Lytechinus pictus: one gene and its partners. The protein of the gene in region 1 binds, or shares a complex with, the protein of each later gene. Links are inferred from orthologs where the notes say so. Each region holds a gene or a part of one and is shown in the gene's direction. Other genes may lie near its edges. The genes, in order: DNA-directed RNA polymerase III subunit RPC5-like, DNA-directed RNA polymerase III subunit RPC9-like and DNA-directed RNA polymerase III subunit RPC4-like.

Region 1 (7,336 bases):
CGAAATTTTACAAAAAATTGAAAATGGAGCCCCCGAAAAAAAAAAATTATATTTTTTCCGTTTCCTCACACATATTACGACCGATTTCAAAACCTCGCATGCGTACGCGTACTCACGGCCAATTTCAAAACATCGCATGCGATCGGTCGCGCCGATCGCATGCGATGTTTTGAAATCGGCCGTGAGTAATATGTGTGAGGAAATTGATACTGGCCCAAAATCACCAATTTTGAGGATAACCGGAGGATGGACACGGAGTGAAATACGGGTGTAGAGTAAGATATTAAGTTATTTATCTTTCTTGTTATATTGTTTTTCTTTAATTTTTACAATAAACATGATTTCCATCCCACCTTTGTGACACCGAATATCCGATCGAGTTCACCGTCACGAAGTTCGGGTATTTGGAGCGTAGTGTAGCGGAAGTGGAGTGGAGCCTGCACGAACTTCGCCCGAGGTAAACCTAATAATGATATTCCAATATAGGCCCACTCCCTAATTATCGATCTCAAATGGATTTTTCTTAACACTTGACAATGACCCAAAAGACAGTATACAATTTAATTACATTGGTTAGATATATACAGATAGATGACAAGCTCTCTCGAAGGTTCATCGTATCCATGAAAAAGTTAGTATATAAGCGTTGGTAGGGGATATTGGGGTTTATTTGAGAATATTTTTGACAAAAATGGCTGTAAAATCCAAATAGATTTGAGAAACAATATGTCAGCTTAAAGCATATATCTAAGGGCTTCAAACGTACCCCATGAAACTTTAAAACTCTATGATGGTTACTGAAAAACAATCCACCTTGAACAAGACCATCGCAAGCTTTCCAACTTACCCCATATACGGGGTAAGTTGGAACGAGGTATGGGGTAAGTTGGAACACTGCATGGTCAATTAAAAATTATACTTAAACTACTTACAACTGTGATATTTTAGTTTTAGCCTATTTGCTTTATTTTTTCAAGTTCAAAATATTAAAGGTGTATTCTGATATGTTGAACTTTATATTTTCTATATTATACAGCCACTCATGCAAGCCGACTGTGTAGTAGAATTCTGCATATTTATGAGTGTTTGATTTTACATGCAATTAAGTGTATCATCAATTTAATGTACTTCTGCATCAAATTTACATGACAAAGATAAATTGTTTATATTTTTTAATTAATTAATTATGCAAATAAACATGAAATTTGCCCTTTAAAAAAAAAAAATTTTGGTGTATGTTTTTGCCTTTAACTTAATCTATTTAGCTAGTAGAATGCTAATTTTTGGTGAGAGCATCAATTTTTACATTTGTAACAAATACCTACGAAAAAATTGCAAAAAGTATAATTTCTTATGTATTTTTTGTTTTTTATACGCCCATCCTGACGGGACGTATCACGCTCGGTGTCTGTTCGTCCATCCGTTAACTTTTCCTTGTAAACACGATAACTTCAGTTTAACTTACCCTAGGCTCATATAATTTGGTATATGTATGATACCAGCATGGATCCCAGGAAGCCTTTTTACTTTTGGGGTCAAAAGGTCAAGGTTACAGTGACATATTTTCATCTTACCCTTCTGCAGTCCTTGTAAATGCGATAACTTCAGTTTAACTTAATCTTGGCTCCTATAATTTGGTGTGTATGATACTAGCATGGATCCCAGGAAGCCTATTGATTTTAAGGTCAAATGGTCAAAGGTCAAAATCACACTGACATGTTTTCATCTTGCCCTTCTGCAGTCCTTGTAAATGCGATAACTTTAGTTTAACTTAATCTAGGCTCCTATAATTTGGTGTGTATGATACTAGCATGGATCCCAGGAGCCTATTGATTTGGAGGTCAAAGGTCAAGATCACATTGACATGTTTTCATCTTACCCTTCTGAAGTCCTTGTAAACGCGATAACTTTAGTTTAACTTAATCTAGGCTCCTATAATTTGGTGTGTATGATACTAGCATAGATCCCAGGAAGCCTATTGATTTTGAGGTCAAGTGGTCAAAGGTCAAGGTCACATTGACATGTTTTCATCTTACCCTTCTGAAATCCTTGTAAACGCGATAACTTTAGTTTAACTTAATCTAGGCTCATATAATTTGGTGTGTATGATACTAGCATGGATCCCAGGAAGCCTATCGATTTTGAGGTCAGAGGTAAAGTTGCCACCTTCCACTTTTCTTGCTTGACCATTAACTCCATTTTTCTGCATTACAGGCGGGCGTATAATGTGCTTGCCTTAGCGACACTCTTGTCTTTGTATTTCTTTGTTTTTTCGAACCTTTTTTTATATTCTTTTTCCTTTTTTTCTGATGAACTTTGTTGGGGACCCTTTTGCATATTAATAAATCCATTTGAGCGAGCAAATTTTAAAATAATCATATATTCATGATTTTCGTTCGAAAAACACAATTTGCATTGACCTTGTACATTCGAGCAATTTTGGGTCCGACATGCACGTACAAAATGTTGCATGATTTTGAAATCACTCACCCGGGCATCGCAAATTTGGTCTCAAATGATGCACAAGACTTGAAAGTAAAAAGTCAGTGAGCGGTGCAGTTAGAAAATTTCGCGCGACGGTGAAGTGACAAATTTATCGAGTGGGGGGACTCAAATTGAGGGTTAAGGGTTAATAAGGGTTAATATTGCATAAGGGGCCCATAGTAGTCCTTAAATGCACACTCAAAACAAGCATGGTTTACAATACATATTCAAAAGAGTGTGAAATATTGTATACATTATTTTCTCAAATCCAGTGTTTTATTCATTTATGTTTGGGGTAACTTGGAACATGTTATAAATAGCCCCTTCAATTTTGTTTCAACTAGCCCCAGAGGCCCATGCAGGTTGCTACATAACTTTTTAAAAGTACTTGCCCAGTCGGGCAAGTAAATTTATGAATAGTTGGAATATACTTGCCCAAAAATCTATTTCACTCGCCTGAAAAAATCTTTGAAATTTTGTGTTTTTTTTCTCCAAAAGAAAGTTTTGAGGTTTTATAAACCATTGACCTTTTTTCTCTGTTTTGACATGAACTGATCTACTTTCTTATTGCATTTCTTTTTCCAAAGTGATTTTATCTTGCCTGCCATGACCAAAATCATATAGACCCTAATTTTGGTCATTCTACTGTAAGCATTTTGCTTGCCCAATTTGGGCAAGTAGTCTTGGTCTTTACTTAAAAAACTTGCCTGACTCTAACTTTTACTTGCCCCGGGCAATTGGGCAAGTGCTTATGTAGCACCCTGGGCCTATGTAGCATTTGTAAGCTTACAGCACAAAAAAGGAACTTCACCATGGCATATTAATAACCTTATTTTGTAGCTTGGTGCAAGTGTCTATTATACCCCCAAACTGGCCAACTTGATCTATAAACTTCTCTGAGATAATAAAACATTTCTGACAGAGAAAAAAAATACTCAGTTGAAAAAACGAAAATTCCTTTCTAACTTTACCAGGCTTATTGTACAGTGTTGTCTGTAATATGGTGGATGGCTGTTGATAATGGCAATAAATTGAGGGCAGTATTGCATAAATTAACCCCAATCTCCCCTATGTTATGTTCCTCTGCTTCCAACCCTTTTACTTAATATAATGTGACTATATACCCATAGGCAGATCCGAGCCCCCCCATTGGCGGAGCAAAAAGAAAAGGGGGAAAGAAAAAAAAGGAAAAACAGAAGAGAATAAAAAATAGGAAAACAAGAAGAGGAAGACGGGTGAATTAAATAAGAAGTGGCAATGACTTAAAAAAATGAAAGTCACTATTCACAGCCAATCTGGAGTTCTTTTAAGTCCTTGGAATTTAGAGTGTAAGAATTAAGAAAGGAAGGAAGAAAGAAAGAAAATATTGCATCTTTTATTAATCGCGAAATCAGGCAAGACTCGTCGCCAGAGCAAGTGTCATGGAACCTATACTTTAGACAAGACAGCTTCAAACTGATGGGACATTTTTATCTAACTCTGTATCTAACCTCCAACATTGGATGAGTGGTCTGTGACTGGAACTTACTTTCAACTAAAGCTATCAAATCTTAAAGAGTTTTGGGGAACATTGATGTACTGAATTACCGATTTTCAGATAAATTTAGTGAAAAACTAAACAATTGTAAATTGGTTATTGGAAAGAGCATTAGTTTCTATTGAAAAGAAAACAAAGAAATGGTAGTTGGAGAAAATGCTAGAAAAAATGAGAATTAACAACTACATGTAAGGTGCCCTATGGATACTGACATTGCTAAAGATGAAAAATACATGAAACACACTTTCATTTTATTCTGTATTATTTTTGTTTTTCTCATTTCAGGTCGATGTTTACCTCTCAAAGGAGTTGGCTGAAAATTTGTATTGTTTTCAGGTGAGAAATGGTTTTATGAAAAATCAAGCTGCTGATAAATATGTCTAAACGAAACAACATCATTCTTCCTAAATTCCCATATTTCATGTTGACATTTTTATTCATATTGATTTTATTTTTGTCTCACCTGCATAGCAGATCAAGACTCATTGCTTTTAGCATCAACAATTCTTTATTTCTTCATCAATCTTGATTATTATACTTGGCTCAAATAATCCTAGGGTAATTCCATGTGTGCATGTCCTTGAGGATGATGGGGTCAAGGGTCATCTAGGGGTCAAAAGGTCAATTTGTCCAACTTGCTCTTCATTTCTTCATCAATTATGTTCACACTTGGTACACATACAATTGTTGTGTAATACCACATGTGTGTCCTTAAGGATGACTGGTCAAGGGTCATCGAGGGGTCAAAAGATCATAGTGCATATTTTATTGATTGTGAAATCAAGTGAGACTTGTGATTCATGAGCCACCTTGTATGATCAGCATTGAATACATGTATGTTCCTTCTTATTAAAAAAAAAAGAATTGTAAACCCAATTAAGGGATTTGCATTACATGTATTAATGGGAGAGCTTGTGATTTATTCAAATCCTTTCATTGTGTGCAACAAAGCAGAGCGAGACGACTATGCTAAATGACACATGCACGACGGACCCCTCCCCCCCCCCCCCCCCCATAAACCTTGAGGGTACTTCAACCCCCAGCATCAGGATCGTCAATCACTGAAGGTTAAGTTTTTGAAATGTCATCATTCATAAATAAAAAAAAGTATATGGGCCTAGTTCATGAAACTTGGATATATTGGTTATCAAGTATTACTCAACATCCTGCCAGAGTTTGATGTCACATGACCAAGGTCAAAGGTCATATAGGGTCAATGAACTTGGACCATGTTGGGGGAATCAATATCAAAATCTTAACCGAAGGTTATGCGCCTAGTTCATGATACTTGGACATAAGAGTAATCAAGTATTACTGAACACCATGCCAAAGATTCAGGTCAAATGACCAAGGTCAAAGTTCATTTAGGATCAGTGAACTTTGGCCATGTTGGGGGTATTTGTTGATATTCATCATAACTTTGAAAGTTTATGGATCTGTGCTCAAATATCTTCGATTAAAATCGATTTTAAAGCATTGTTAGTACAGTGGCAGATACAAATTTTGACCAGTGCGAGCATTTTGACATCGATACAAATTGCGTATTGATTTTCTATGTAAACGGAATTGTCACAGTTTCATGTACATGTACACAAAGTCTATGGGGAAACGGAATTTCTGTTTTCAGACATGCTGAAATGGAATATAAGATTTTCTGAAACGATAACTCACTGTCCCTTTTTTATTATCATACGAATGTTTCTTTTGTGAATAATTATTCAATAGCTGTTTTCAAAGTCAGCACTGCTGCTATATCAAATCGCGTAATGCAGGCGAGACTGCCAGAGGCACTCCACTTGTTTTCATTAGACAGATGGGGGAGAGTGCAAGATGGCATCTGAACATGCCTACTGAGGTTTAAATAAATTGAGTTAACATAACATCCCCTTATACTTTGTTCAATTTCTTTTATACATTCACCCTCTCATTTCTCTTTTGCTGTTTTCTTACAATGATTTTGTTATATATTGCATTTTCCTATTTCTATGACTGTAGCATTTTACGTTGGTCTTTTTTTATCTTTGCATTCAGTATCCAGTTCGTCCCAATCACATGTCCTATGATGACTTTGAATACACATCAGCTCGGATCAAACCTAAACAGAAAAAGGTACACATCAATTAACAAAGGTTTGAATGGCATATTACAGCATGGATCCATTTAATAGCATCTTTTCTTATTTTAACAAAGTCAAAGCCACTGTGAAAGTCTGTTCGTGGGATTCCTCCTAAAACATGTCACATCTCTCTTTTGTGAAGCACTGTGATATAAATCTAATTTTGTTTCAAAGGTTTTCCTTCTAGTGTAGTTTACTGTGCTTTGTTTTTGAGCAGATACCCATCCCCATTAACATCAAGATTTTTAGCCAGCCAAAAGCTTGTCCATGACATCGAATTTAGGCTGGCCAAAACTTTTCTCCTATATTTTCTCCTTGCCTGCAAGTTGATTATTAACATTGTTGAATTACATATCCACTTTATGCACAGTATGTCTGACAAAAATCAGTTACTATTCATGAGAACAATAGAAAATATATCTGTAGTATCTAGATCCAGTATTGGGACATTTTACTTCATTGGGCCATTCTCCTTTGTAGCATGTATAAACCCCATCTCTTGCCTTTTTGCCCTTAAAGGTCAAGTCCACCCCAGAAAAATGTTGATTTGAATAAATAGAGAAAAATCAAACTAGCATGATGCTGAAAATTTCATCAAAATCCATTGTAAAATAAGAAAGTTATGAGATTTTAAAGTTTCGCTTATTTTTCACAAAACAGAGATATGCACAACTCAGTGACATGCAAATGAGACGGCTGATGATGTCCCTCACTCACTATTTCTTTTTGTTTTCTATTGTTTGAATTGTACAATATTTCATTTTTTACAGATTCGACAATAAGGACTAACTTGAATGAACCATAGAGTATTAAACAATGCTAATTCCACATGTTCATGGAGGAATTCATCATTGTTTCGCTTGACAATGAGAAGAAAATTAGAATACTTCATATTTCATATAATAAAATACAAAAGAAATTGTGAGTGGATGACGTCATCAGTCTCCTCATTTGCTTACCGACCAGGATGAGCATATAACTGTTTTGTGAAATTAAGCGAAACTTTAAAATTGTCATAACTTTCTTATTTACATCCGATTTTGATGAAATTTTCAGTGTTATGCTTGTTTGATTTTCTTATTTTATTCAAATCAACTTTTAGTTGGGGTGGACTTGTCCTTTAATGTATTTTTTTAATGGAAAGTAGTTTGTTCTGGCATGTGCACCTAAAGTCTACCTGTTTCTGTTAGTGTATTCTG
Region 2 (7,411 bases), on another chromosome or scaffold:
TTAAAAAAAGCTTCAACTGAAAATACTATTGAATTTCAAATGTTCATTAGCCATTACTTAGAATAAGTAAAAATTGATGTTTTCGATTTGTCCATCAGCACCTAGCACAGTAGATGCATGTGTGAACAATTTGTTAGAGTTAAGCCAACTGTTTCAAATCGAGTTTGGATCAGATCATTCAGATGTGTACAACACAGCGAAAAGCTGAGCCTGAGGTGACTCGGCTCTGCCTATTTCATTCATTTTTCAACAAATATAAAAATCTTTAAAGTATTTAAACTACCACTTCAGGGTGCTACATAACTTTTTAGAAGCACTTTCCCAGTCGGGCAAGTAAATTTTTAAATAGTTGGAATATACTTGCCCAAAAATGTATTTCACTTGCCCCAAAAAATCCTTGAAAAAAAGTTTTACCTCTTCAAATGAAAGCATTGTGGATTTATAAACCATTGAACTTCTAACTGATGTAGACCTTTCCAAAGTGATTTTATCTTACCTGCTACATGTGACCAAAATTAGGGTCGATATCATATAAAAAATGTGGACCCTAATTTTCCACTGTGAGAAATTGGCTTTCCCAGTTTGGGCAAGTAGTTTTGGTCTTAACTTCAAAACACTTGCCCGACTCTAACTTTTACTTGCCCCGGGCAATAGGGCAAGTACAGATTTTTGCTGACACTGTTTGTAAGTGTTTAGAACTTAGTTTAGTGACTGATCTCTTGATTTTATAGCCTAACTTACGATGAAAGTATGGTATTGTATTTGTAGGGGCTAGTGACAATGACCTGCACAACTAGTATTAAATTATTACTAGTACTACATGTATATTGCCTTTATTCATTGGCAATACAAGTAAATTCTAATATTTAGGATTAGAGGGTTTATATTAGTATTAGAACTAGAAGTCAGACCTACCAACACTCTTAAAACATTTTCCAATAGGATACAGACGACCCCAAACAACCACCTTCTCCTCCACAAAATCAAAATCTCCTTCAGCAACCTCCTGCGTTGGAATAGTCTCCATACTCGACAAAGTTCCCCCGGATGACAGACTTGCACTCGCACTGCTCGATGTGGTGTTGGGCTCTACGGAACTCGAGCTCGAGCCGTTCAAGCTCATGTCGCACACACATGCAGTAGTAAACACGGGAACGCCGGGCCGAGTGCGCTACGTAAGTGCTCAGCGGAAACTCGAGGCTAACCTCCGCCACTCTGACCCGGCAGATGTACCGTGACGTAGGTATCCAATCCGGCGGCACGAAATACTGCGGCGCGAGATTCAGGAACACTGCCACTGGACTATTTCCTTGTTGAGTCCATCTTTGAATTAGCTCATTGGGTAAGAAGATGACATCAACAATCCAATAGTTTCTGCAAATTCAATGAACTTCAAAACAACTTCTTTCGTTTGATTTTGAATTCTGCAAGCAAAATCCAAGTAATTGTCAGTTCTTTGGGGTAAAAATCCAAAACACACCGTATCGCAGGCCTAGTTCTAATCAGCTGACAAACCACGTGGCGATCGCGCGTTTGCGGTCAACGACCTTAGGGTATATGTATCCGGATGATATGCGGATCCAGGATTTCGATCAGCTAGGGGATTCCCAATTATTGATCATGATCATTGACCCCGGGGGCCTCATTGACAGGCGGTACGTCCAGAGAAAAGATAAAAGTCATGGCATTTCCCAGAATATCGATTCGATTTTGTCATATCTCTGAGCAGACGCAGATCCAGGGGCACGTGCCCCCTATGCCCACCCCCCCCCCCTTTTTGAGAAGCAAAATTAGAATTTGTAATGTAAAAATGCCCCCTCTTTTGAAATAGAAGACCTTTTTTTTTTTTTTGCTTGTCAAAATTTTTCGGGTTCTAAACATCCTTAATTTGTGGTTGAAAACCTTTATTTTTTTTTTGGGGGGGGGGGGCTTGTCAAAATTTTCCTTCGAAAAATTTGCCCCCCCCCCTTTGGAAAATCCTGGATCCGCCCCTGTCTCTGGATGTTAGAAAAATAAAGGAGCTAAGACAGTGTTCAGAAATATACTGCTTCCCTAAGATTTCAGAAAGGTGGCCCAGGGGCAAGAGAGTTTACGAACTTCGGGGCGCGGCTGCGGGAGACGTTTCCACCCACATTTTTGGTCTGACAACTTTATTTCATTCTGATTGGCGGAGAAGCACATGCAGTTCCTTTCTGTAGGAAAGCATAGGCCTACTTTGTCGTATTCCGATGGTCATTTCATAAACGACAACCCCCCCCCCCCCCCCCCCTCTGCTGTAGCTTTCACCTACAACAAAGACATTGGGAAACATTTTGTATATACAAAAATATATTTAACCTCTGCCTTTTCCTTTTTAATAATATTTTTGTACATTTTTTAACCTCTACGGCCCTGCAATTTTTATCTCTGCCCCAGTCCCCCCCCCCCGTGTTCCCTCTGCTGTACGGATCCACATGCATGCGTCATGAAACCTAACACTAAAACCATGAAGGATATGGAAAAACATGTATAATAAGGCCTTCATGGTAGCCTACACTTATATGCCTATATGTAAAGGTCTATGAGTGTAGGTTCTCAGGGACTTTTTTTTAGAAGGGGCGTTGGGGTGTTGGGGGTCAATGGCATATGAGCCAAACAAATTTGAGGGTCCATAAATGGCATGTGGAGCAAAATAAATTTCTAAAAAAGCAGCAAGTGAGCAAAATTTTAGAACTTTTTTACACAAATATCTAATTTTGTGATGGATTTCGACATAATGCTAAAAAATATTATTATATTCCACCCCCTTTCCTTTTTTTTTTCTTGGCTGTGAAACTTGTGGGGGAGGTTCCATGGTCCCTTAAGCCCCCCCTCCTTACATCAGTTGGGTAGGGTAGTCCTTGAGACTGAAGTCTTATAAGTACAAGCTATATCTTTATTTTCACAAGAAGAATAGGTAATTCATAAGAACTATTTAATCAGTAATACGAGCGTGAAGCACGAGATGAAATTTTTAATAATAATAATATTAGGCATTTATATACGCCATCAATCTAGAAATAATCTATTCCGAGCCGCATTGTTTAATATTATTATTACCCCCACTTTATTTTAGCTCGAGCTGCCTTTCAGCGCTAATTGCATTCAAGAAATTAATCCTATATACCGGATACCCATTCACCTCACCTGGGTTGAGTGCAGCACAATGGGGAAAATTGTTTTGGAAAAATAGAAAACTAAACAAATTTTGATGGAAAATAAGAAAGAAAAACTGATGGTTATCATGCATTTTCATATCACTACCATCATGGGCGGAAATCCCAGAGGAGACAGGGGAAGCCCCCACCCCCCCCCCCCACTTTATGATATGTTTTATGCCGGAAAAATACTTCATTCAAAAACGAAATAATACATGTATCCTTGAATCTTTAATATAATATCATTTTCTGAATATTATGTCAAAATCTATAACAAAATTAGATTTTTGTTATAAAACTATTGAAATTTTTGCTCGCTCGCCTAGCTCTCTTGCAACTTTTATAAATTTTACCCAATATGTGCCATATCTAGCCCCCAAAAAGCACTCCTCTTGAAAAAAAACATATTATGATCATCGATCATCTTCAACTTCCTCCTTATCATCATAATCATACTTGCCATATAATCAGTATGATATTATTCTGTAAATTATCGCGGGATAATACAGACCACCCCTTTTATTATATACATATTTTTATTTGATAGCATTTATTCCATTCATCATAAAAACCAGAACAAAACAAGGTACATGCAAAGTTAACATATATTACAATTTATGTCAATGAAATAATTCAATGATACAAATCTGGAAAACATTTGAAAAAAAGAGTATATATAAATGAATGGGGAGGCAACTAGAAAGGCAAAGCCTTATTAGTGCTGCCACCTTTACAAAACTGGAAACTGAATATGTAATGTAATAAAAATGTTAATACTGAATACCAGATATAAACATTGAGCATAAAAAGGGGGAAATACAAATTTTGACACAATGACAAAATATATAGACATAGATGTATATCAACAATAATTACTATAAAAACGAAAGAAGAAAAAACACCTGAATATACGTTATTAGAATATTTGCTTAGAAGTTGGGTTTTATATCTCCTTTTAAAAACATTAAATGATGGACTAGGTTTAACAGAAAATTGTAATTATTCCAGATAATTGGTTCTTTGCTAAAGAAGTGCTTTTTTTAGTTAGGTGGAAGTCTGAAGATCCTTGCGTATTATAATAATGAACATCTATGACCCAGTAGCCACTGATCTGTATCTAGTCTATATAGTGTAAAGATTAGTGGATCAAACTGGAATTCTATGTAAAACTGAGGCAAATTTTCATGTCGGTCATAACTGAAAGATACCATACCGAAAACTTGAATAACAATGCACAAAAGAAAATGATTGGGACTACATAACAAGCTCGCTGTAGCCTTCCGAAGACGCGACCGAAAGACCGAAGAAGACAATGGAAGTGTAAGTATTTGTTAGGGAATATGATAACAAACATCTCATTTTGTTATGCTGTATGCACGAAAGGTGATTTTTATTCTACTTATTTAGTCAAATTTATTTGGCGTGTTTGGAAAAGCAGAGTCGGACGTCGGTGACGTGCATGTGTGACTGTGGCCATGGTGCCGTGGTTGTGTCTGTGAGTGAGTGTGAGTGAGTGAGTCTCACTTGCACTTGTCTTACCCCTTTCATAAACCCAATCATGCGGCTAATAGCAGCATAATTTGGTTGTAAAATCGGAGGAGGACCAGAGTTATCCGCTTCATTTTGATGCTGCAATTATCCGCATAATAGCGGCATCGGGACCAGATTTTGACTTTATGAACGCATGTCCAAAGTACAATTACATGACATACCGTTGGCGTTATAGATTATACGGATAATTGCCATGCCCATGGCATGATGGTGCGGTCACAACTCACAAGGTCACCCTTTTCCAACACAACTGCATCGGAGGGGGTGTGTGCGGTTGCCATGACGATTATCCCCCTTTTTCAGGACGGGCGCTCGTAAAAATAGTGCGGATTATTTTCGGAGTTTGTGAACGCAATTTTTATTGAATTATCCGCATTACTCTTAGCCTTAGGCTTAGGCGGCTAATTAGAGGATGGGTTTATGAATATGAAAGGGGTATCAGACTCAGATCAGTGAGTCTGACTGATGTGACGTTAACCCGGTCCCGGGGAGCTACGGCCCGCTTCACGGGCCGGAGCCCTGGGGGCCGTTTCATCAAGCTGTTCGGAAGTTAAGAGCGACTTTAAGAATGACTGGTGAACCTTTCTTACGCGCTTAACCATCACCAATGAATATACCATTTTCCACAAGAAAGGATCACCAGTCGTTCTTTTAAAGTCGCTCTTATTGTCTTAACTTAACTTATGAACAGCTTTATGGAACACAGTGACACACCCGGACTCGTCCATGTAATTAGCCAGGAGGCTCTAAGTCCTAGAGGAGTAGAGAGCTAAAATCATTTACTAACGTATGCTTACTCTCCAAGGAGCCAGGGATTCCATCCCATTCATCTGCGTGTACCGCCAAAAAACCTGAAACTTTCGCCCCCGAGATTTCTACTTTCCTTCCAAGCATGGGTACTCTCCAAAATAGGGTAGAATTAGCCTGGAGGCTTCTGGAGAGTAAAAGTCATCTACTATACGTAGGCTTACTCTCCATGAAGCCTTGGTCGGGATACCATTGCTCTACACATACCGTAGGTGTTCCCACGGTGAAATTAGACCTAAATCACACATTTTATTAGGGTTTTGAGCCCAAACTAACGTAAATGGGCCAAAACAATATTTACCCCTGAATATGATAACGTTGCGTCTATTTATTCAGTAAATAGTAGTAAATTAGAGAAATTATTAAGAGTACGAGCGTTTACTTACCCAGTCTGTTATTTTCGCCGTCTTTGTTATCGATACCTAGATACAAGACGCGTGTATAGAGGGCGACAATATCATGAGCAGTGCCAATTTAGATTTTAAAAAAATACTTGCATCGGCCGATAAATATCATGAATCGTTAAATACTTGCATTGGCCGATAAATATCATAAATCTTTTATGATATTTATCGGCCGATGCAAGTAAAAATAAAAATATATGTACATGTAGAATGAAGTTTTTGCTTCCTTGTATTTTAAAATGAAGGGTTCATTTTTCTTTTATTTACAGGATCAAAGAAAGTGCTGCTATGTTGAGCAACTTTGAGGTGAGTAATTTTAAGTTACCCTCAAGCTATGGTGTTGACTTTTGGTTTTGATAGCATAGTAAGAATGCTGTCACCAGTTGTGGTGGGGTGTAAAAATAAATCGGTCTGTATAAAGTAATATTTACACTGAAAATTGAGAAATACATGCTCAAACACACATTTTGAAAGAAGAATGATTATGTACTATGATTATTTTGATTAGAGTCACCAGAGAATTACATGGAAAAGGCACCTTTTTTATGCCAGAATATTTAGTCATGAAAGAGTGTATAAAATAAAGTGTCTGATGCTATATCAAATGCACAGATAAAATTGTTTTCAATTTTCTGACAAATTAGAATAATTTAGATTTTATTACTGTTGCTGGGGAGCTACTTGCATGTGATGTCACAAAATTAAACTTTAACCGATCTGTATTCTTATTCCTGAATGGATTTTTCCAAACCTTCATTAATACATTTCCCTAATTTTCTGCTTCTATCCAAATCAAATTGATATCAGGGTTAACTTTCCTTTAAATTTACCATTTCAAAGACAGAATACAGAATGTGATGCCCTTTGACCCCTATGCCTTGAACCAGAGTTTCCAACTATTAAGAAAAGTCATATTTTTTATGATTTTCATGTCAAATTACGCCATTACACTTTTGGCCTTAATTATTACGCTTCTGAGTTATAGTAGGTATGTACACATTTAATACACGCATAATAATACATCGTGCAGTGGTGATATTTACTTACCTGACTAGGCAAGCTAGTGCTTTACAAAAGTTATGTTGCACCCTAGATTAATATTCCTGACAACCGTCCTGTTGGGTTGGAAAAACATTGCATTTATGCACATTGTGCATCTGTTCTATATACCTCTAAGAAATTTATCATACTGTGTGGCACATATGAAATTATGACTTATCTCACAGTTATGTCTTTTGAGCTGCTGGAGTACTACTTGCAGCTCTGTTGAACTTTCCATCTTTCTTTGATCTTTCAGGTCCATGCTCTGCTTAAAGAATTACAATCGGGAAGCTCTCAGAGAGGGAAGAAGAGCATCAGTAAAAAGCAGCAGAACCTTGCCACAATATCCTATGAGGTATGTTATGTAACTATTCTAAAATCAGCCTGTTTGAGACTTATCCCAAGTACATGTAATCTTGGGATGTAGTCTAT
Region 3 (7,506 bases), on another chromosome or scaffold:
TGTGGTTACAAAAGAGTTTTTCTTTTAATATGTTCTATTGAGACATATTTGATATGACTGTAAAGGAAATTTGCCATTTCAACATTTTTTTTCTTATTTTTCATGATTTCATGAATTTCTTATGTATTTCTATTGATTTTAATTTTTTTCATATATTTGCAATTTTTTCTGCTTCAATTATTTTCATTAATCAATATCTTAAGAAACTAAAGAAATGAGAAAAGGTGAATAAATCACTTTTTTTAGCACTCTTGAAATTTATTTTGCCCCATCGACTTTGTACACAAAATTGATTCCCCATTGACATTGTGTACAAATGTCCCGTATGTAACATTTTTGTAACAATTATTTAAAAAGTGAAATATATTTTGTAAACTTTTTGTATTATATCATTTTCGAACTCAGTAAATTAGAACTTCCTACAGACACAACAATACAGGTATTGTATTCTAAGAAATTCAACTAACTTAAAAAAAACGTCCTCAAAATGTTACGTATGAGACTTTCCATCCTTTGACTAGACCTAATTTGCATATAAAAATTAGGTGACACCACTATTTTCCCCAAAAAAGTAATAATATGTTGGGATGGGGAGGGGGTCCATGTCCCATCTATGATTAAATCTCACAAGTTTTGTTTTGATTCTTTATGAGTTTTTATAATTGTACAACCATAAGTAACGCCCATTTTACCAATTATGTAAATTAGGGGCCCCAAATTTGCCTAATGAAAAAATTTTCTTAATAAAATTTAAAAATTCAATATTTGGGCTTCTTTATCCAACCAAACATAACTTCTTGAAATAGAGATGAAATTTAGTCTCCAAAGCCAAAGGTGACCTTTTCTTGGACTTGCCCTTTATAGACGGGTCAATATATGGTTTGACGCGGAACAAATTGCAACAAATGATTTTTCAACTGTTTCTGGCAGTATTTGACCTCAGGAAAAACATACAAAAAATCTACCAAAATCTGCATCCGGGAAAGTGGTTATTTTCAAGATGGCGTCCAAGATGGCCACCATTCACTAAAAATTGATATAACTCACTCATTATCCACCCTAGAATCCTATTTGGGTTCATATTCCAAGGTCCAATGGGTAAACAATTTCATTTATACAAGTTAGAGTGAATATTAGCACTCCAGGGTACCAGGAAACTCCAAGATGGCGCCCAAAATGGCTGCCGTATTCTAAAAACCCCACAATCCATCTATTACTTAAGTGGCTTTAATTTGGGTTCAATTCGATTGTTTTAATGATGAAGTAGTTTATCGGGACAAGTTACAAGGACAGCCAGTGGTCTGGTGTGTCCAAAAATACAAAATGGCTTCCAAAAATTGAGTTTAAAATGGCTGTTCATCCTTAAAATGGGCATAGCTCATATCACATCTACCTGAGAGATATGATTTTTGTGCCTATACCATGGTTAAATGGGTCAAATAATAAATTGGGATAAGTTACAAGGACGATGGGTGGTCAAGTATGTCCAAAAGTCCACGGTGGCTTAAAAAATAGTATCAATTAGCTGCGATGGTATCTAAAAATGGACATAGTTCATGTTATATTCGTCAAGGGCATATGATTTTGTTGCCTATATCATGGTTTCAAAAGGAAGAAAATTAGCTACAAGGAAAGTCAGTGGTCCAGTATTTCGAAAATCTAAGAAAGCTTCCAAAAACCGGAGTCTAAAATGACTGCTGTTAATTTTAGAATGGACATTTAAATCCACCAAGGAGATATGATTTCGATGTCCACTATGGTTTCATGGTTAAAACAATACGTTTGGACTTGTTACATTGATATGCAGTTGTCCAGTTTGCCTAAAACACAAGAGGGTTTTTAAAAAAGGAATCTAAAACGACTCATATTTAATTGTGGTCAGAGTTCTACAATATTCATCTGTGAGAAAAAATGTTGGTGTCCAAATTGTGGTATGAAGGGTCAAATAATACAATCGGACAAGTAACAAGGATGGTTAGTACTCAATTTTGTCAAAGAATCCAGGACGGATTCTAAAATTTCATCAAAATTGGTGCTGTTACCAACTCATGAAACAATAATAACTTGTCCCCATGCATTTAAGTGTAAGAACCAAGATTATTTCTAACAGGTAGATAATTTACCTAACAGTAGTCACTTTAGAACCCCTTTTTTAAGCCAACTTGGATTTGGAGGCAAAATGGATAGCTGCATATCATGATAACCAGTCCCAAAGTATTGTTTGGCGCTTGAAATCCTAGTGTAGACACCAAAATAATATCCCCAAGGTGTATTTATAATGTTCTACATCCACTTTTAAGTAACAGCAGGCATTTAAGACCCCCATTTTAAAGGCCATCTTCGATTTTTGGATATACTTGACACCTGACTGTTTTTTCAACTTAACCCAATGTATTGCTTGACCATGTAAACCCTAGTATAGACAGCAAAATCATACCTCCAAGCCCAAGGTGTATTTATAATAAACTATGCATACTTTTAAGTAGCAACAGTCAATTTACACCCCATTTTTTAAAAGTAATCTTGGATTTTTTAACATACAGACAACTGACTGGTCTTGAAACTTACCCTAGTGTATTACTTGACATTTTTAAACCATGGTTGAACACCAAACTCATATCCCTAGACAGATATTAAACAAACTATATCCTTTTATAAGTAACATCATACATTTTTTTACTCCATTTTTGGAAGCCATCTTGTAATTTTGGACATACTAGACCACTGACTGCCATTGTCTTGTCCTAATATATAATTTGACCTTTGAAACCATAGTTTAGACACCAAAATCATATCTCACAGGCGGATTTAAAATGAGCTATGCCACTTTTAAGTATCAACAGCCATTTTAAAATCAGGTTTTATTTATTATTTATCTATTTATTGGTATATGCACATATATTTACCAGCAGCAGGGCTGAAAGGGTCAATTTACAATAATAATACAAAGTACAAAATAACATAAGTTACAGTAAGTATAATTTTGGCCAAATGATTGAATGGCATTGAAAGCCATATTGGATTTTTGGTCATACCAGACCACTGACTGGCCTTAAAACCTGTCTTATTATTATTTTGGCCCTTAGACCAGTGGTTTAGACACCAAAATCGCATCTCCCAGGCCGATATGAAATAAGCTATGTCCGCTTTAAGTAGCAGCAGTCAATTTAGTATCAATTTTTGGAAGCCAACTTCGATTTTTTGGACATGCCAGACCATTGACTGTCCTTGTAACTTATCCTAATATATTATTTGACCCTTGAAACCAGTGGTTTAGACATCAAAATCACATATCCCAGGCCAAAATGAAATGAGCTTTGTCCGCTTTAAGTATTAGCAGCCATTTCAGAATCAATTTTTGGAATCTATCGGGGATTTTTGCACATACCATACCACTGACTTTCCTTGAAACTTGTCCCAATGTATTATTTGACCCATTTAACCATGGTATAGACACACAAATCATATTTCTGGACATTGAGCAAACTATGTCGGGTTTTTTTAAGTAGCAACAGCAATTTCGACTCCATTTTTGGAAGCCATCTTGGATTTTTGAACACATTGGACCAATGACTGTCCTTGTAAATTGTCCCAATGTCTTATTTGACCATTGAAATCGTGGTCTAGACACCAAAAGCAGTATGTCCCAGGCGGATATGAAATGAACTATGTCCATTTTAATTATCAACAGCCATTTTAAACTCCATTTTTGGAAGCCATCTTGGATTTTTGGACACACCAGACCACTGGCTGTCCTTGTAACTTGTTTCAATGTACTATTTTACCCTTAAACCATTGAATAAAAAACAAATTTAGATGAATTGTGGATTTTCAGCCTACGGCAGCCATTTTGGGTGCCATCTTGGATTTGCCTGGTACACTGGAGGGATTATAATTCATTCTAGCCTAAATCAATTTTTTTTACCCCCAGACCATGGAATATGAACCGAATTAGGATTCTTGGGTGGATAATGTGTCAGTTGTATCCATTTTCAGTGAATGGCGGTCATCTTGGACGCCATCTTGAAAATAACCACTTTCCCGTATGCGGATTTTGGTAGATTTTTAGTATGTTATTCCTGAGGTCAAATAGTACAAAATACCGTTGAAAAATCATTTGTTGCAATTTGTTCCGGGTCAGGCTATTTTTGGTTGTATATTTACCCGTCTATTAATGGATAAGTTAGATCAGGTTTAATGTATAATTTGTATAATTTAGTAATTCAATATTCGTACAGTGTATACAGAGTCTCAAGACTATTAGGAAAGTACTTGTTTTGCTACTGAGTAACATAATTAATGCTGTGGTTTGAATGTATTGAGCTGAGTGGTCAGTTAGTGTGTTCTCATTCAAGTGTGCCTATATTACAAGACTATACAGCTCAGAATGCTGCATTATCCTGGCCAGATATGAGTAGTTGAGGACTTGTGGTGGCGCAATTATTTCCTTCCTTTTTTAAGACTAACATTATCATTTGGATTCTCTTTACTTTTAGCAGAGCACCTTACCATTTTCCAGGATTAAAAGCAGATAGAAGTCATGGCTGAAAAACCATCTCAAGGTCAAGGATCACCTGGTAGTATCCCTCGTGGGCTTATCAATAGACGAGGGAGTGTTATTAAACCCAGTGAAAGATTGCCTTCGCTACGCACTCGTGACCTAACTCTAGGAGGCATACCAAAGGTAATTATAGCCATTTTGATGTTAACACTTGGTATTTACTGCTTTTATCTAGTACATAAAGGTCACTGTATGGTTGGGTCGTTCGTCTATCCATTGCAAATCTTGTAGATCAAATAAAACTACTTCCTCTATTTTCACCTATGTTTATTAGACTTCACATGCAAATTGATCTTTGAGAGATCGAATGGGTCAGAAATTGTTGCTCTGGTGATGATATATTCAATTAGTGATATTTCTAGTTGTCCTAGTGACAAATTAATTTCTAATCTATCTTTTGCTTTCTCAATGGTGTGCTACCAAAAATTGAATTTTGTATATTTAAATGATCCAAGAGGAGAGGGATAATTGAGCAGTGAAATAATGTTTTATGTGTAGCAGTCTATAGAATAAAGAAAACTACATGTTGAATATTAGAAAGAAGTTCTATAAAATTTGAATGTAGTCCTGATAAGATTGTAAGTTTATATGTTTTGTTGTTTTCTTTGTCTGCAGAAATCTTTTAAGCCCAATATACCAGTAAGAAGAGAAAAAAACAAAGATGAGTAAGTATTATTCTTTTTTTTTTCTTTGTATATCAGACTTGTCAGTGTCAGCATTCCAGAAAAACATAAAACATGATTACCAGTACTAAACCATGAAAAGAATGAATTATACATTGCTATCAGAAAAGGCTGATCTTTGTAGATGCTTAATCAGTGGCGTACTGTGGGTCACGTCATTGGGGGGCACCAGCAAAAATTTTGAGTCACTTATACCGTGTTTACAAGTGCATCGGCTTTTGGTTTATCTTGCACCGCGTTTGTAACAGCTCACGGTGCAGAATCTGCTCGAGTAGCAAAAACCTGAAATGATCCACGCACCAACAATATACGTCATAATAAAGACAACGCTGGATCCGTGGGCTTCCAAGTACGTCATAATGGTAAAGTAAATGAAATGCACGCCAATTGCTTATGCAGAATTGGCTTTCTATTTACACGTAGAAAAAAAGCCGATTCTGTATAGGCTCGCGGTTCTGAACCTACTACTTTGGTGGTGCAAAATTGCTGATTCTGCACTGAGAGCCGATGCAAGTTAATCGCGTTTACACGCAACAAAAAAGCTGAATCTGCATCGGCTCGCTGTTCTGAATCGCGAGCTGATGCAGCGTGTAAATACAAATTTGGTGAGCATGCAAAGCGTGCTCAATTGCCAGGTATACTGACCTTAAATAGAGAGATTTTAAGGACTGTGCCATTAAGCGGATATATGTATCTCACTGATCAAATAATGCGAGCGCGAAGCACGAGCTAAAATTTTTTTATATTCAGACCTAAAAAAGGACATTATAAGCAAATTTTTGTGTAATAATAATACGTACCTGTCTCGCTAAACAAACAATGCGAGCGAGAAGCTTGAGCTGAAATTTTTGTATTTATTGACCCCAAACAGGGACAGTTTAAGGACTATTTTTTAAGAAGTTTAGGATATACATATCTCACCATAGTCATCTAATGCGAGTGCCAAGCGCCTTCTGATTTTGTTAGAATTACATCTAAACACATAGTCATTGTAATCGTGATTAACATACGCATCTCACTAATCAAATATAGCTAGCGCAAAGCGCGAGCTCAAAATTAAGGAAATTCAGACCTGGAGAGTGGCATTCTAAGGCTTGTTTGTAGAAATTCACTAAGACCATACTAACCAAATGATGCGAGCGCGAACCGCAATCTGAAAAACTTTGATATTTAGATCAGAAAAAAGAGATATTTTAAGCCCCCATTCCACAGAGAACAAGACCGCTGAAAGACCTATGTACCACCATGAATTCTGGTTGATCTTTCAGAGGTCTCTCAATGAACCTACAATGGTCTTTGAGGTCTTACACGAGTCCTGACCAATCTTTCAGTGGTCTTCGTGGTGTTCATGGGCTCCAAAACTTTTTGAAATGGTTCAAAACAGTCTTAAAACGGTCTTACAGGAAAATGGCATTTCAGTGGTCTTTCAGCAGTCTTCCAGCAGTCTTTCGATGAACTTTCAAAGGTCTTAATAGTCTTTCAATGATCTTTCGGCAGTCTCTCAAGATTTTTGCGGAGATCACTGTAAGATTCATGAGAGATCATTAAAAGATCATTGAAAGACCAGGCAAAGTCCATTGAAAAAATTCAGAAAGATCACTTGTTGCATAAAAGATCTCTGAAAGACCATTGAAAGATCTCTATGGGACTAGTCTAAGACCAGTAAGACAAGAAATATCCATGAGTCTTTCAGAGTTCTTTGAGGGGTCTTTCTTAGCCATTCCACAGAGAAGACAAATTTCAGTGATCTTGAAGACCGCTGGAAGACCTCACCAATTTCAAGTTTTTCAGTGGTCTTTCAATGGTCTCCGTTCTGTGGAATGTGGGCCTTAACAACTGATTTTAGGAATTCATGAAGAGCAGACATATCTCACCAATCCACTAATGCGAACGTAAGCACGGACAGGGAATGTTTTATATGCAGACCTTAAAATGTGGCAATCAATTTAAGTAGTCATGAAAAAGAAGGATATGTCACTATATAAAACAATTAAATAATAACTCGAAGTGCGAGGAAATATATTTGGTGTATATTGACTTGAAAAAAATATGTTTTAGAATTATATATCTCGTTAAACAGACAATGCGAGACCAGGAACGATGAACACAATAGGCCCTGAGCAAAGTATGTTTCATAAAGTTATGAAAAAAAATATTTCTTATGATGTACGGTAATAACATAATATATACAGTATAATAATAATATAACATTATAATGTACAATATTTTCTTCATTCCCATTACGTTTCTCTTCCCTATTCT

What was found.
Region 2: DNA-directed RNA polymerase III subunit RPC5-like (region 1) and DNA-directed RNA polymerase III subunit RPC9-like share a complex: the UniProt entries of both Homo sapiens proteins name them as parts of the RNA polymerase III complex. The link is inferred for Lytechinus pictus from reciprocal best matches to the Homo sapiens genes POLR3E and CRCP.
Region 3: DNA-directed RNA polymerase III subunit RPC5-like (region 1) and DNA-directed RNA polymerase III subunit RPC4-like share a complex: the UniProt entries of both Homo sapiens proteins name them as parts of the RNA polymerase III complex. The link is inferred for Lytechinus pictus from reciprocal best matches to the Homo sapiens genes POLR3E and POLR3D.

What each region holds. Positions count from the first base shown.
Region 1 is NC_087254.1:1,610,325-1,617,660, forward strand, and holds the start of DNA-directed RNA polymerase III subunit RPC5-like, read left to right. Parts: upstream 1-4,310; 5' UTR 4,311-4,357; intron 4,358-6,052; 5' UTR 6,053-6,073; coding exon 6,074-6,130; intron 6,131-7,336. UniProt on the Homo sapiens protein: DNA-dependent RNA polymerase catalyzes the transcription of DNA into RNA using the four ribonucleoside triphosphates as substrates.
Region 2 is NC_087246.1:31,251,194-31,258,604, forward strand, and holds the start of DNA-directed RNA polymerase III subunit RPC9-like, read left to right. Parts: upstream 1-4,390; 5' UTR 4,391-4,488; coding exon 4,489-4,496; intron 4,497-6,207; coding exon 6,208-6,244; intron 6,245-7,235; coding exon 7,236-7,334; intron 7,335-7,411. Other genes in the region: serine/threonine-protein kinase Chk2-like, read right to left, coding at 916-1,123. UniProt on the Homo sapiens protein: DNA-dependent RNA polymerase catalyzes the transcription of DNA into RNA using the four ribonucleoside triphosphates as substrates.
Region 3 is NC_087247.1:56,498,632-56,506,137, reverse strand, and holds the start of DNA-directed RNA polymerase III subunit RPC4-like, read left to right. Parts: upstream 1-4,494; 5' UTR 4,495-4,540; coding exon 4,541-4,684; intron 4,685-5,176; coding exon 5,177-5,226; intron 5,227-7,506. UniProt on the Homo sapiens protein: DNA-dependent RNA polymerase catalyzes the transcription of DNA into RNA using the four ribonucleoside triphosphates as substrates.